Linked DNA regions of Rhinolophus ferrumequinum. Each later gene encodes a partner of the first gene's protein in a complex. Links are inferred from orthologs where the notes say so. Each region holds a gene or a part of one and is shown in the gene's direction. Other genes may lie near its edges.

Region 1 (7,383 bases):
GTACTCCACTTCTTGTAAATATATATATATATATATATATATATATATTTTTTTTTTATAACTATAATTATAGTTGACATTCATTATTGTTCAGCTTCAGCTTCAGGTGTACAATGCAGTGATCAGGCATCTCCATCATCCCTGAGGTGGTGTCCAGCAGATCCTTTTTTAAATCAGTGAGCCATCCCCTTTCTTTCTAGGGGTTTAATATGATGCTAATTGTTTTTGTGGTTGAACTTAGTGGAAACTGCTATTCCTTCTCGCATTTACATGTCCCATCTGGGGTAAGTTTTCTTTATCTTCTTGGTGCACAGCCACCAGAAATTTCTTTAGACTGTTAGTGGTAAACTCAGTTTTCATTTATTTAAAAATGTATTTTTATAAAACTTTTGCTCTTGAAGAAAATAACTCTTCTGGGTATATGATTCTTTGTTTACAGATTTTCCCCCTTTTTAAAAACACTTTGAATCATTTCCAGTCTCTTCTGGTTTCCAGTATGGCTGTCGAGAAGTGTGATGCCAGTTTAGTTATGTTCATTTTTAGATGGTCTATGTTTTCTCTGTAGCCTTTGAGATTGTTTCTTTGTCGTGATTGTTCTGCAGTTTCACTAAGATGTATCTAGATGTGTATTTCTTCATATTTATCCTTCTTGGTATAAATAGTGATTCTTATATTCCTGGATTCTTTCTTGCCTTTCATCAACTTTTGAAAACTATCAGCCACTTTCTCCTCAAATATTTCTTGGCTCGCATTTTTTTTCCTCTTCTCTCCTTCTGGGAATCCAATTTGCTAATTGTTGGACTGCCTCAGTCTTTGCCTCTTAATTCTTCTATCTGCTTGTCTCTCTTTCTGTATCCTGGGGAACTTCTTCAGGTCCGTTCTAGCACGCTACTTCTCTCTTCAGCTGTATCTTCTGTTTGACCAAGCATTGCAATTTTAATTTTAATAGTTATATACAAATTTTTATTTTTTGTTGTTCTATTTTTTCCCTAAATCTATCTGGGCATTTTTTTTTAATACTCTCTTATGACTTATTCACTTTTTCTACTACATCTTTTATTCTTTAAACATTTCATGATAGCTTCTTTAGATTCTTCATCTGATTATTCCAAATTCTGAAGTCCTTAAAGATCTAAAACTGTTGATTATTGTTGCTGCTGACTCTCCTTCATAGTTATTTCAATCCTTGTATATTTAGTAATTTTTTGGTGAGTTTATATTTGGGTGAATTTAATCCAGAAGACTGGATTGAGGATGCTTTCCTCTAAGGCACTCAGTTTGCTTCTGCTGGACTCCAGGGGACATTAATAATCTGGGCCACTTAAAAGTTTCAGCTTATGGTTTATTCGATCAAAGGGAAAGAGAACAGGTCGCACATGGAAACTAACACTTTTATTCATTTTAACATCTAGTGCTACAGCCTAGACAGATTTCCTTGTAGGTTCCCTCCGCAAGCAAGTAGACTTTTTTCTTTCCAGTGAGAAAAACTGACTCTTTGATGGTCCCAGCTTTTCGGGGATGAGGGTGTCTCATATTTAGCTCTTCCATCTTTCTAGGCCCTAAGGCTTATGCTCTGGTTCTCCCCTAATTTCCCATACCCTTATCCAGTCCCCAAAGCTCTAGGTTTCTAGTTAGTTGAACTCTCTGCTTACTCACTATATACCTTTTGTTTTGTATTGTCTTATTTTGTTGATTTCAGGGGATGCCCTTGGGAGATTACCTTTATTTTAAGGGAGCTCACTAAGGAACTTTTAACATATGTGTTTGTTGTGTTTTATATAGCATTTAAGTATTCTGCTATGGGAGGCTTTTAAGAACTCAGTCATACTACTGGAAAAGAATTTTTAAAACAAACAGAAATGTGATTATGTGGTACATACGAGTTGTTTTATAACCCGTTTTTTTTCCATTTGATATACGATCAACACCTGTCATATAAATAAATATAGATCAAGAGCATCCTTTTAACAGCTACATAGTCTTCCATTGAATAATTCACTCAGTCTTTTTTATTATTGGATTTTAGGGTTCTATTTTTTACTATTTTAAATAACATTTCAGTTAATATCTTTATAACTAAATTTTTGTATACATTGTGATCTTCTGTCTTCTTTAACTGTTTATAAAAGTAATATATGCTAGTATAAAATATTCAAACACTATGGAAAATGAAAATTCTCCATAATCCTTTTTGCCATCACCTTAATACCATTTGGTCTATGAGTAAAATCTCTTAATCAAACAACAGATGAGAATTAGTTAAGGCTAGACTATCCGAGAAGAAAGACCACATCCTCTGCCCCCACCCCCACAACTAAGGATAGGGAACCAGAGTGTGTACTGGTGGGCTGAAGATAAGCAAAGATAATCAGGAGCAGAGAACTGAAGGAATGACAGACACCCAAATAGACTCCAAAAGCCTGGGATAGCTGGAGTCAGGGGCACCAGGCCTCAGAAAAGTTCAGAGCTTCAAAAATCTAGGAATCAACTTTGCCTTGCCAGTGCCAGCCTAGCAGAAGCAGAGGGTCTTCTCAGGCACTCACTGCAGACTCACATCCCTGCTTCCCCTTCTTCTAAAGGGGTTTGGTTTATTTTGAGTCAGAAAGCAGGACAGGCTCTGACTGTCCCCAACCCTGTGCTTCATAGTGGGTTACCCCTGATTCTCCGGATCTTGTCCCAATCTAAAGAAATCCAACCATAGAAACACTCCTCTAACACGTTTCAAGCGGAGCCCCAATGTTGAGCCCAGAGTCTTCTACCAAAGGAGAATCACGATAGGAATGGCTGACATCTCTGATGGCTCTTAGCTCCTGACTAGACTTTTTTTGAGGACCTGCTGCACTTGCCTTTATAGTCTGTGAGATACCACCACATCTCTGTAATAAAGTCTACTTCAGATGGATTCTGTCAACCGTGCTGGTGAGAGCCCCTAACCCATAAAGAAGCCCAAGCTCCTCTTTCCTCCCAGTGAGTGTAGAGCTCCAGCAGGGATGGTCAGAGATTTAAGGAAGCCCCAGAAGTTTCGGTTGTTTATTTATTAATTCAATTCAACAAATATTTATGGGTGCCTACCATAAATAGGCTTTTAAACAGACTACAATCGAAGAGTTCCCTAAATACCTCCAAAATCGCATGGATGGACTCCACCAGAATTCATGAGTTGGAGTCTAGAGTTCCTAGCTGCTCTAAAAAACACAGTTAACTGCTGGCCACTTGTTCTCCAACCAGCACAGTCCATGGAATACCGGACAGAATAAAAAGTGCACACCAAGAGGAGACCTTCCAGTGACAGCTGGCACACGACCCGCAGGGTTGGGTCTCCCCATGAAGGACTGAGTGCCCAGGGTTAGCTGTATCTAGCTCCCACAACCTCCAGCCATGGTCAGGCCTTGCACGGGTAAAATAACCTTTGTCTACCTTAAATCCTTAAGGTTCCCTAAGCTCCTGAGTTCTAAAAGGCCCTTGTCCAGAGCATGTGCTTGTGGGGAATGTATATCAACCAAGGAATTTGCATGGAGGAATTGGCATGGGGGAGAGAGCAAGGAGGGCCTGAGGTGTTCCCACTGCACATACACCGTGTCAGCAACCCCCTGGCTGGGCCAGTCATCTTGCTGATCCTATTGCCCTGGGAGTGGGTTTTGCCCTTGACAGCAGACAAGTCACTACCAATGCCAGGGCTTGCCTCAGCAAGAGCAGCTGTCAGGAGGAACTGGGCAGGAATACAGACAGGGACCCTTCATCACACCGTCGGACGCTTTACACCTTCCTCAGCCACCTTCACCACTAGCTGAATGGTACAGCCCTGAAGCCTATGTGAAAATAGGAAAGTTTACGGTGATGATAAGAAAGCCAGGCACTGAAGTCAGTTCCTCACTGGCTTGGGCGAGGTAAACTCTCAGTGCCTCCTTCTCCTCACCCACAAAAAAGTCATAAAAGCAGTACTTATGCCCTTAGGGTCGATGTGAGAGTTATATAAACTCATATATGTACCTGGCACATGACAAGCTTTACGGGAGTGTTAGCTATAATCTTAGGGCAGTTGGGGGAGAACTGAGCCCCAGTACCGTGCAATCCTCCTCAGCACCGTCGCATCCCTAGCCCGGGCCCGGCAGGTAGTGGAGCTGGGATTGCTGTGGGAAGAGGGAGAGGCGCCGGCGGGAGAAGGGAGTTGATTATGAGTTCCTGCAAGGTGAGGACTTCTGCCGGGACACCCTAAGTGCCCAGTGACATCTAACGGGCTGTGGCATGCAGCAGGTGCTTTAGGAAATAACTAGTTAGAAAAGATAAGCACTAAGCTTCCGTTCGGCCTACCCCCCCCCCGCCCCCCCCCGCCCCTTTGGGGCGGGACTGTAGAGGCGCCTGACGGACAAGGAAGTTGTTCAGCGCTGGTAGGGAGAGAGACCCGGGAAGCGGGAAGCGGAATCGGTGAGGTGGCCTAGAGATTGACCTGTCTCCCCACCCCCAACCCTCTCTGCCACAGACTCCACTCGGAGAAGTCACTCCATCCATGTGGACTCACACCTTCCAGACTGATGTCTAGCCACGAGTTATGGTGAGTAGAGAATGGGACACACAGGATGCCCCTCCGGCTAGCTCAGGGACTGCTTTGTGCCCTGCCAAGCCTGGGGGACAGTGGGGCCCACAGGGGAGGCTGTGGATTGTACCGACCCTGCTGAGTCATGGGGGTCACAGCAGAGAACAGTGCAGACTTGAAGCCATGGCCAGCTGGTGAATGAGGTCCCCTCTCCCAGGCCCAGTGGTGCCCCAGCCCCCCTGGTGTCCATCGAGGAATTAAAGAACCCGAAGTACATTGGTGAAGGTGGGTTTGGCACAGTGTTCTGCGCACAACACAAGTCGTGGGGTATTGATGTGGCGGTCAAGATCGTGAACTCGTGAGTGCCCCAGCTGCATGCAGGCAGGCCACTGTGCCGCAGGTCCTGAATGGGGAAGGGAGGGATCTGCCCAGCAGCAGAGCAGTGACTCCAACTCTCTCCTGGAGTATAGGAAGGTGATATGCAGGGAGGTAAAGGCCATGGCAAGTCTGCGTAACCAGCATGTGCTGCTCCTGCTGGGCGTCACTGAGAAGCTGGAGTGGGACAACTTGTCTGGGCCAGCTCTGGTGACCCCATTCATGGAGAATGGTTCCCTGGTAGAGCTGCTGCAGCCCCAGTGCCCTCGGCCCTGGCCGTTCCTCTGCCGCCTGCTGCAGGAGTTGGTGCTCGGGATGTGTTACCTGCACAGCCTGAACCCTGTGCTTCTGCACCGGGACCTGAAGCTCTCCAACGTCCTGCTGGACGCAGACCTACACGTCAAGGTCAGCTCATCCGCACCCCAGCCCAGTCTCTAAACAAGGTCATGCCCCAGAGCTGCTCCAGCCCCACCCATTGGACAAAGCACCTGCTGCAGCCCTGCCTACTGAATACCCTCAGCATTTCCCTCTGCACACAGGGCTGCCCAAATGTCAAGGCCCACCCAGCAGCCTTAGCCTCTGCCATACCAAGTGATAGAGCCCTGACTGACACAGTTACTTCTACTGTGGGGCTCACCCCACTAGGCCCTCCACAAAGACCCATGGCTGACAGCCCAGGAGACTCAGCCCTTAACCCAGTCCAATGGAGAGGGGACCCAGGCCTCCAAACCAAGGACCTCACTGATCCTACCATGCCCCTAACCCTCCACACCCCCTTTACATGGCTAGGCCTGCACCTTCTCGGGGAAAGAAGGGGATGCCTGGCCCTGTCCACCCCTTTCCTTCTCCTTTGCCCTTCCCTTTGCAGCTGGCAGATTTTGGCCTGTCCACATTTCTGGGAGGCTCAAGGTCAACAGCAGGATCTGGGAAATCAGGGGGCACCCTAGCCTACTTAGCCCCAGAACTGTTGGCTGATGTAAACCGGAAGGCCTCTACGGCCAGTGATGTCTACAGGTAAGGTACCCACACCAAACACACATCCCAATTTCTGCACCTCTCTGGGCCCTTCCAGAGGGAGGTATATGGGAGAGGAGTCTTGTCAGCAGTTGGGCCAGGCCTCAGTTTTGTGTCTCCTGCAGCTTCGGGATCCTATTGTGGGAAGTGCTAGCTGGAAAAGAAGCTGAAAGTAAGGCTTTAAGCAGACTCTGGGATCCTTAACCCCAGGTGCCCTCCTCCTGAAAGTCCCCAAACCCTCTTCTTCCTGCTTACTTGCTCAGACTGTCCTATTCCCTCCTCACCTTTTCTTGGACTGCACTCCCGCCACTTTCCATGATGGAGCAGGTGGCCCCTCATACCCTGAATGCTTTGTCTTCATGTCTCCCACCGCACCCCAGTAGTGCCCCAGATATCGCTGATGCAGAAAGCCGTGTGTGAGAGGCAGAACCGGCCCCCACTGACTGAGCTGCCCCAGCCCAGCCCTGAGACTCCTGGCTTAGAAGAACTGACGCAGTTAATGCAGGACTGCTGCAGCAATGAGCCCAAGGACAGGCCTTCATTCCAAGGTGAGCTGGCCATTTAGCTGGTAGCTGGGGCAGGCCTGGATCTGTCAGCAGGGTCTTTGCCTGGGAAAGAAGTTTCGCTCACCTGCCACCCACTCTGCTTTCTCTCCAGACTGCAGACGACATACTGAGAAAGCCCTCCACATGGTACAGAATACAGGTGTAACTGGTACAGAGATGGATGTTGCAGTGTCCACAGTGAGTGCCCAACACCAACCCACACACAAAGAGCCGGGCGGAGATAGCACCAGATGGCTCCTGTGGCCCCCCAGTGACTCCCCACTGACCACTGTTCTTTATGCCTTGAACCTCATCCCCACTCTCTCCACCCCACCCCTGAATTCCCAGGCAACAGATTATGGACCAAGAGACTCTTTCCTTGGGTTTACTCTGTCTCTCCCACCTCCACACCCAGCAAGGTCCCCCTGTCCTTGCAGGTGAAGAAGTTCCTGTCTGAGCACAGGAGGTTTTCTGCCTCTGAGCCAGGCCCAGGAGGGACAGAAATGGATGGCCCTAGGGAAACCCCAGAAAGCCTTGATTCCATGGTCTCTGAGATGCTAAACCTGAATCTGGAAGGTTTGCCCAGCTCTGTTTCTGAAAAATGTATAAACCTTCCTAAGAAGATAGAGGCACAGGGAGAACAGACTCAGCATGCCCAAACAGCAAGGATGTCTTCTGATTCAACAGTCCAACCTCCCCCAAATCTGGAGACCTCACTTTTCAGAAACCAGAAGCCCAGCCCCACCTCGACTTGGCCACCAGGTGCTAGACCCCAAGGGAATCAGGTGAGACTAGGGGATGCAAATCCTGTCCCCTTGCCAGGGAAACTTTGGGATCAAGGGGTTATGCCATGGAAACAGGCCCCAGGACAGAGAGCCTGAGAGTGCTGTGCTGTTGTTTACAGGGGGCTGGGAG
Region 2 (7,898 bases), on another chromosome or scaffold:
AGAGGGTCCATAGTAAGCTCTAAATAAATGTCAATTGCTGTTCAGTCACGACGTCCTTCAGGAAACATCCTTGCTTTGAATTTTAGAGTAGGGTACCCATTTAAAATGAAAAGAAGTAACAAGTGAAAATGTAAAAGTGTTTTGCTCTTGCCCCAACCCCTACCCCAAGCTCTGAAACAGCCACCCAGACTTACTCCCGGCCACAACCTGAGGGACTCCTGTGTCTTATGGGGTGTGTGCCCTCATTTCCTCATTTTACCTTCTGGGCATAGAAGTCTTAGCACCTCAGGCTTCCAGATGCCTTTGAAAATGTTTGAGTTCCAACATATAGGGGAGGAAAAAAAAGCATTGCAAAATCAGAATCAATGAATGTTTAATTAAAAGTCTAAAAACCTAATATTATGTCAAGTTCATTAACTGTTCCGTTTAGTCATCATAAAAATTTCATTACACTTAATTATATTTGAAACAAATTTATAGGTGAAATGGTCCCACTTTGCAAGAATTCCCAAGAATCCTGGACACTCAGTGGAGAATGTTTGGTCAATTGTAATTAAATGAATTTCTTGTAGGTAAATAATTCAGCAAACAAAATTATCACAAAATCATTTGATCATAAAAATAAAAGTTAGATGTGAATTGATTTCAATATATTTGTCGGGATGTGGAGAAGGGCTTTCCAAAAAGAATTGGTGGGGGAGGAAGAGTGTGAGAACTGCCCAGGGCTGGCCATGTCCCCTCTCCCTTTCAGGACCATCTCCTGCCACCTGCCACCTGCACACAGGGTCACTTTCCAAATCCCCATCTCTCCATGGATGAAAGTCCTCCTTTCCTTTGCCCCTGGGGAAAATTTCAAGTTTCTACCACAGCCTTCAATGCTCTGGCCCCTGTCCATCTCCCCAACTCACCTTCCACCCACCCAGGTCCCCTTTACTGGCCAGAGCTACAGGGAATGGTGGTGGATCGGGGACTCAGCCTAAGCCACCTGCCAATCCCTGGATTGGGCAGTGTGGCCTCTTCTGAAGCCGGAGTGGAAGGGGAGCCAGGAACCAGGGAGCGGGCCGTTCCCCTGCTCCCCGCCTCTGCCGTCCACGGACCCCAGCTTGCGCCCTGAGATAAAGAAGGCACAAAGAATTATTTGGTGAATGACCAGATGAATAAATGGGACTGCTCTGTCACCTCGGAGAGGCACCGCTGGAGACCACATAATGATGATAAGACTAGTTCCTGTTTATTGCACACGTACTACATGCTCAGTGCTCTGCTAGCACCTTTGGCACCTGATCTCTTCTAACCTTTGCAACAACCCCATGGTGTAGGTTCTGTTCTGAGGAAGAAGCTTTTCAGAGGGAGAAACTGGGCTCAGAAAGAGTAGGGACTCACTCCAGACACAGAGCTTAAAGGTGGGGTGCCAGGACCAGAGCCCTAGGTCTGTCTGACTCTAGTGGACACGGTGACCCATGGAGGCCGGCCGAGTTCTGCCTTGAAGGTGGTGAACAGCGCCAGGCAGGTCCTGCTGGGGCTGCCGCGGAGTCTGCTGCCTTCCACGCAGCACCTTCGCTTGGACTGTTTCACCCCCTCTGCCGATGGCTCTTGCAACCTTGACCCTGTCTCTCTCTGGCCACCTCTGGTTCTTTGACCTTTGCCCCTGACAAAGACACATTATTATCCACATTTGGTGCCTTCTGACCTTCCACTCCCACCCCTGAGGTGAATTCACAGAGGAAATGTCAAAAATAACATCCAGGCTGCCTGGTAGAACGGAGACTGCGGTTTGCCAATACAATGTGCAGTAAAAATATCTCTCTTTTAAAAGGGAGAGAGAGAAATTTAAAGACTTAAGATCAGTAACGTGCAATTATCATCTGGTTTGGGCGGAGACTTCTAATGGTTTCCAGAAAAACACAAGCTATGAAAATGGAGAGTGCATTCCAAAGCAAAAAGAGATGTGGGCTCCAGCAAACAGGGATGCCATCTTGGAACCTCTGTGGCCTTTGAGCTCCTTCCCAGACGGAGTACGAGGCACCAGCATCCTCACCTCCCTTCCTCTCCCCTTTTGCCTTCCACACTGGACAGAGCCTGGAAAGTGCTTCTGAACTCAGCCTTGGACCTGCTCAATACATAGGCCCCAGTGAACGACCATACCTAAAGGCACAAAGAAGATGTCCTCACTCCGTCTCTGGCGGGAACAACAGAGCCTTGCAATGGCAGGGACAGCCAGGTCTCCTCCAATATCTGTTGTCCCCTATTTTTTAAGTAATAAACCACCAATTTTAGCTGGGTGCCTTGTGATCCAGAATAACGACCATCTTCCCCAGCCTCCCTTGCCGGGACATGAAGCTAATGGAATGTGTGTGCAACTTGCAACTATTCTTAAAGGGGAGATACCTGTCCTTTTCCCTTTTCCTCCCTCCTGCTGGAAGGAATGCAGATGTGATGGCTGGAGCTTGAGCAGCCATCCTAGAGCATAAGGCCAACCTGCGAGTGAGGGCCATAAATGGCAGAGCAACAAAATAGAAGTGCCTGGGTCTCAATCCCGTGGTGTGCCAGGCCAAACCTGGACCGCCTACCAGGCTGTTAGAGGAGAAAGAAAGAAGCATCTAGACTGTTTAAGCCACTGATATTTGGGTTAAAAACAATCCTTATAGTCAAAATTACCTTGAAAATCTCTTAAATTGAGAAGAGAACACAAGATAATCTAAATCTTTAAAAGCGCGGGTCCCACCCAGTGTGGTGAGACGCTCTCAGCAGGTTCATGGCTTCCATGAATTCCAGACAGCTGTGGAATGCTCCAGGAGGGGCAACCCACCCACATTAAATTGTATTTTTTCTTCTCTCCCTCTTTATTTTTTATTTATTTACTTTTTTTGTCTAGGGCCTAAAGTTGTATTGTAAACATGTGTCACATTTTCTAACTTACGCAAATTTTGTGAGCACCAACTAAGTGTCATATAGATATGCTTTTTCTTATTTACCATCTCAGTTTTATAGTGAAAGAAACTGAGGCTCAGAGAGGTAGTGACCCACAGCTAGGGAGGAGCAGGTGGCAGCTCAGATCAGACCTGCCCTGGAGAAGAAGGTGAGGCAGCATCTTTGTCCAGGTGGCACCTCCCGGGGTACTTGGCCTTTCCAGCACAGTGGTTCCTGCTGCAGGTCCCTAAGGACCACTCAGACAGCCAGCGCTCCGCGTGGTTTCAGGATAGGAAAGAGAGACACTGGGGACAGGAAGGGACCCTCCAAACACTGCCCAGATGGCCAAGAGGGTGCCAGCCTTCACTGCTGAAGCACAAGTGGTACTTCCAGAAACCAAACTGACCCTCAGGATCAAGCTTGAGTCCCTCAGCCTGACCTGCAAGCCACCAGGCCAGGCACCTTCCACACAAAGAGATCAGCGGCACGCAGGGAACAAAGCAAGAAGCCTGAGCAGGAGCGGCCAGGGAGAAAGGGGGAGAAGCCGGGTGTCGGGCCAGACGGAGTCGGGGTTTCCCGGGGGTGGGGAGGGTGATAGGTGGGAGGTCCCCCCTCAGCCAGAGAGGACCAGGCAGAGGTGGGCCGGGGTGAGTGGGCGCCACCTGGTGGCCAGTCCGAGCACGGCGCCTCCCAAAGTCCACTGGGAGGCTCAGCGGGAGCCCCCTCCCCAAGGATGGGCGGCTCCACAGTCTTCCTCAACACCTGCAACTACCTCGCATTTAAAATTAATATTGTCAATTCATATGGAGATACACGCTTCTTCGGTTTTACATAAGACAGATACAAAAGCATTATTGTGGTTTCCTGTTTTTATTGTGTTGACCAAGACTTCCCCAACCTCACCCGCCAGGCGGATAACATCACCTGAACCGCCAGAGATTCAGATTTAACTGGTCTGGCTGTGGACTGGGTATCAGGACTTTCCCTGCTTGCTTAGCAAAGGCAGCTTGGAGACGAGCGTCCAGCACCCATTTATTTCCTCGCTGCTATCGCTGTTCCTAGGCCCTCCCTTTGCAGAAATGCTGAGCCACGGGTCCGCGGAGGGAACGCGGAAACCCACGAGCCCGCCTAGGCTACTGCACTGGGACTCTGAGCCCAGGGACTTCCGAGGCTGAGTTCTTCACCCGCTTGGGCTACCTCACACAGGCCTCTGTATAGGCCTGTTTCCCCTCCTATTACCTGAAAGACAACAGTGGCCCTGAACTGCTTGAGGGTCACCGGCCCGTTTGAAAATTTATGAAAAGCAATGGGTCCTTTTTCCAGAAACATGTGGGTGCCAACTGTGCTTATGACTGTAGATGGCACTGGTGGCTCTGATTTCTCAGCTGGATTAACCCCTTCATCCTCACCACGGCCTCCTCACTCAGGTAGCTGCTTTTACTAGTTTTACAGATGAGTAAATGGGGGCACAGAGAGGTTAAATAACTCACCCAAGGTCACACAGCCAGTAAATGGGTGGGGAGCTGGGTTAGGACCCAAGAATCTGTGGCCTTGGACAAGTGACCTCACCAATCTAAGCCTCGGTTTCCCCTCTGAGAAAAGAGGCCAGTACTAGTCTTTACTCGGTAGGTGAGCCAGAAGGGCACATGAGATTGGAAAACACACAGTAGCTGCTCATTAAGGACAGCTGTCATTTTGATACGCACACAATCTCCAGGCACCCACCCAGGAATCTTGGCCTGTGTGTTGGGGGGCGGGGTCAGGGTGGGCATCAATGGGCACCCGGCAGTTCGGGAAAACCCCCGGCCCCAGGGGATGCTCTAGTCTTGCCAAGCTCATCTCACCCCACCAAAGTCTAGTCAGAGGCTTCCTCTTGCTCAATACAGCTTTCGGTTTTGTTTCTTTCAAAAGCCACACACACCCGTTTCATTTTTCTTTTCCTCCACAAAGCTGATAAATGTGGGCAGGCTAGGCTTCTGTTTCCGTGATGTGAAGAGCTGACACCTGCCTGGTTGGAGCTGGCCTCCCTTCACAGCTGCCAGAAGCACCGGGCTCCACCACACGAGGACACCCAGCCCCACCTGGCTCACTCTCTCAAGGCCACAGTGCAGAAGCCTACAGCTGTCCCCCAGTCCCCCTGCCAAGCCACCCGGGATTTCCAGCAACTGCTGTCAGCATGGCCGAGGCCCCTGTGGACCCAAGTGAGACAGGTACTTTCTTCTTTCTAAGGAACAGCGGGAATCTGGGTGGGACTGGCACTTCTCTCTCTGGCTCCTTCGCTTGTCCCAGATGGCAGCAATGATAGCAACACACGTGCCATGCATTTTGCAATAACCTCAGCGGTAAGTACAAAGGTGTTTCCATTTCCCACGAGATCACCAAGCCCTGTGAGGTGAAAGGACTCAGAGCATCAGGCTGACGACAGGGCTAAGCACCTGGCTTCACACTCATTTCCAGAAAGAGCAGAAATTGCTTTGATTAGAAGTGCACATTTCCCCCGTTGTGTTCTTCCTCAGATAACACTCCCAGGAGGATACCAGCAGGGGTGAACCCTGTGCTCAGCCAGGTGGTGAACCATTGCTGCATTCTCCGGCCACCACTAGGGGCTTATGGGCTGTGGGCTGAGGGTGGTTTGGGGTGGAGGTGGGGGTGGGGTGTTGTTATCATTAGCTCATTTAATCCTCACCACAAGTTTTGAAGGAGCTGCTATTATCCCCACCTCACAGATGGAGAAACTGAGGCATAGAGAGTTCACACATCTAGTAGGTGGCAGAGCTGGGGCTCAAACCCAGGAAACCAGCCATCAGAGAACAAGAATGAGGAAAACAGGGTGTGCTGGGGAGGGGTGCTGGCAGGGTATGGCTCAGGTTCCTGTCCTACTTCCCCGTGGGGGACGGACACACGGGGACTGGTCAGTGGTGCTTAGGAACTGAATTTTCCTTCTTCCCCAGTGGGCTTTCCTCTCCTTACCAACTTGTTGCTTATACTTCTTCCATTTCACAACCTCCGGGATTTGTGGAAGGATCCCGCCCTTGGGGGATGGCCTTCATACACGTCTCTGACCTGACTCCTCCTTTGCCAGCAGGAAGGTGGAAGAGGGCAAGGAGGAGGCTCACCCTGGCAGGCTTTTCAAGAATCAAAACTCTTAAAAAAAAAAATCAAAACTCTTTTCAAGTCAAGGCAAAGCGAGATGTGTAGTGGGTTGGACGAGGATTTCTGGTGGCTGGGGTGGCTGCTCAGGGCCGAATGTGGTGGGTGAAGGGACCGGCGTCCCAGGTGTTCTAAGCGCACCTCACCTACGCGCAGCAAGGACAAACGCATTCTGACCACAAAGGGAAGCCACAGCGCCCAGCTGTAGAGCCAGCAGCTGAGTTGCCCCTCCCCCCAGAAAACCCCAGAAAGCAAAGGGTCGGATATGGCCACCGCCCTGGAAGGCAAGCCAGATCCACCCAAGAAGGGCCCTGCTTTGCATTACCCTTGGGGTTCTTGGGGGCACACACTTACTGATGACAGGCTGGGCTGCCACGCACAGCCGCTCTATCTTACAGGATCCTGTCCTCTCACTCCCCGCAGAGCAGCTGTCCCGGGTTTGTGGGATCCTGCCCGGGAGGAGCAGGGGCCCTTGGAGGGTTCCTCCTTGAGCCTCAAGGGATCCTGCTTAGGGTCGTTCATCTCAGGTGGGAAAACACAGACATGCTATCGGTCACCTGGGCCGACGTCTGTCCCAGTAGTGGATGAATCCACTCACTCACTCATTCACTCAGTCACTCATTCATTCCCGTGCCATTTCCTGAGAATCTACTGTGTGCCCGGCACTGCGCTAGACACCGAAGGTACAACAGTAAACCAGGCAATTCTGATGGGAGCTTCTTGGGGCAATTCTGTAGGGGACACACACACGTACAACACCCCGCCCGCTCAGGGCATCCAGGACAGCTTCCCAAAGGAGATGGTGTCTGAGTGAGACCTGCAGGGTGAGTAGACATCGGACAGGGGGAGGGGTGGGGAAACGTATTCCGGACAGGGAACAGCATGGGAAAAGGCCCAGGGGTGAGTGGGGCCGAAAAGAGCCCGGATGGGTTGGCACTTGGAAGGAAGTTGAGGGGGCAGTAAAGACCAGGCTGAGTGGTCAGCAGAGCCAGTTCTGGCTGCCAAGTCGAGGACTGGAGGGAACCTGACTGGAGTTGGACTTGCTGTCACTGTAGAGATGATGACACAGAATAGGGAGGTGGAAGCAGAGAAGAGAAGAAGGGATTCGAGAGAGCCGGAAACAGTATTTCCAGGACTCTGTGATTAGGCATCAGAGAGAGAGATCCGTTTCTGAATGTTGTGAGGTTGCTGGCTTGGGTGAATGTGACACCACCCATATGAGGATGGGAGCCCGGGAGGATTCTGCAGGGAGGCGGAGGCTGGGGTCAGGGCACAGAGGCATGCCTCCCAGGCGGTCACTCCGCCTCACTGCCCTGCCCTCTCTCCCCTCCCTCCTGCTCTCCTACCCTCACTCTCCTCATCCTGCCCCTGCCACTTCCCTCTCCTTTGAGGACACCTGAGAGCTGAGCGTCCACCTGCCCTCCAGGGATTGCTCACAGGGGGCAGAGGACCCGCGAAAGGCCTGGGTGCCTCGTCTGGCCACCAGGCCGTCTGGCCAAAGTCATTTCTGACCAGCCCATGTGCCCCTCACTGAACGAGGGTGGTGTTGGCAGATGTGTGCTCAGGCCTCTGCCCTGGATCCCTCTCACGGAGCTTCCCCTGCCCGCCGAGCCTCCAGCCCAGGCTCCGTTGTGGGGCCCTCAGTTCTCTCTCTGCCCCTCTCGCCTCTCCTAGACCTTGAGCAAAGCATCCTGCGGGTACTGAGGGAGGCTGGCTCCCCTGTGAAGACTGCCCAGCTGGTAAAGGAATGCCAAGTGCCCAAGAAGAAACTCAACCAAGTCATCTACCGGCTGAAGGCAGAGTCGCAGGTGGCCCTCGTAGGCCCCGGAACGTGGTGC

Evidence for each region.
Region 2: RIPK3 (region 1) and ZBP1 share a complex: the UniProt entries of both Homo sapiens proteins name them as parts of the AIM2 PANoptosome complex. The link is inferred for Rhinolophus ferrumequinum from reciprocal best matches to the Homo sapiens genes RIPK3 and ZBP1.

The regions. Positions count from the first base shown.
Region 1 is NC_046289.1:74,475,868-74,483,250, reverse strand, and holds the start of RIPK3 (receptor-interacting serine/threonine-protein kinase 3), read left to right. Parts: upstream 1-4,349; 5' UTR 4,350-4,388; intron 4,389-4,480; 5' UTR 4,481-4,532; coding exon 4,533-4,552; intron 4,553-4,751; coding exon 4,752-4,892; intron 4,893-5,004; coding exon 5,005-5,314; intron 5,315-5,777; coding exon 5,778-5,923; intron 5,924-6,048; coding exon 6,049-6,095; intron 6,096-6,303; coding exon 6,304-6,471; intron 6,472-6,580; coding exon 6,581-6,666; intron 6,667-6,905; coding exon 6,906-7,253; intron 7,254-7,372; coding exon 7,373-7,383. UniProt on the Homo sapiens protein: Serine/threonine-protein kinase that activates necroptosis and apoptosis, two parallel forms of cell death. Necroptosis, a programmed cell death process in response to death-inducing TNF-alpha family members, is triggered by RIPK3 following activation by ZBP1.
Region 2 is NC_046306.1:4,310,765-4,318,662, forward strand, and holds the start of ZBP1 (Z-DNA-binding protein 1), read left to right. Parts: upstream 1-4,845; 5' UTR 4,846-5,086; coding exon 5,087-5,120; intron 5,121-7,734; coding exon 7,735-7,898.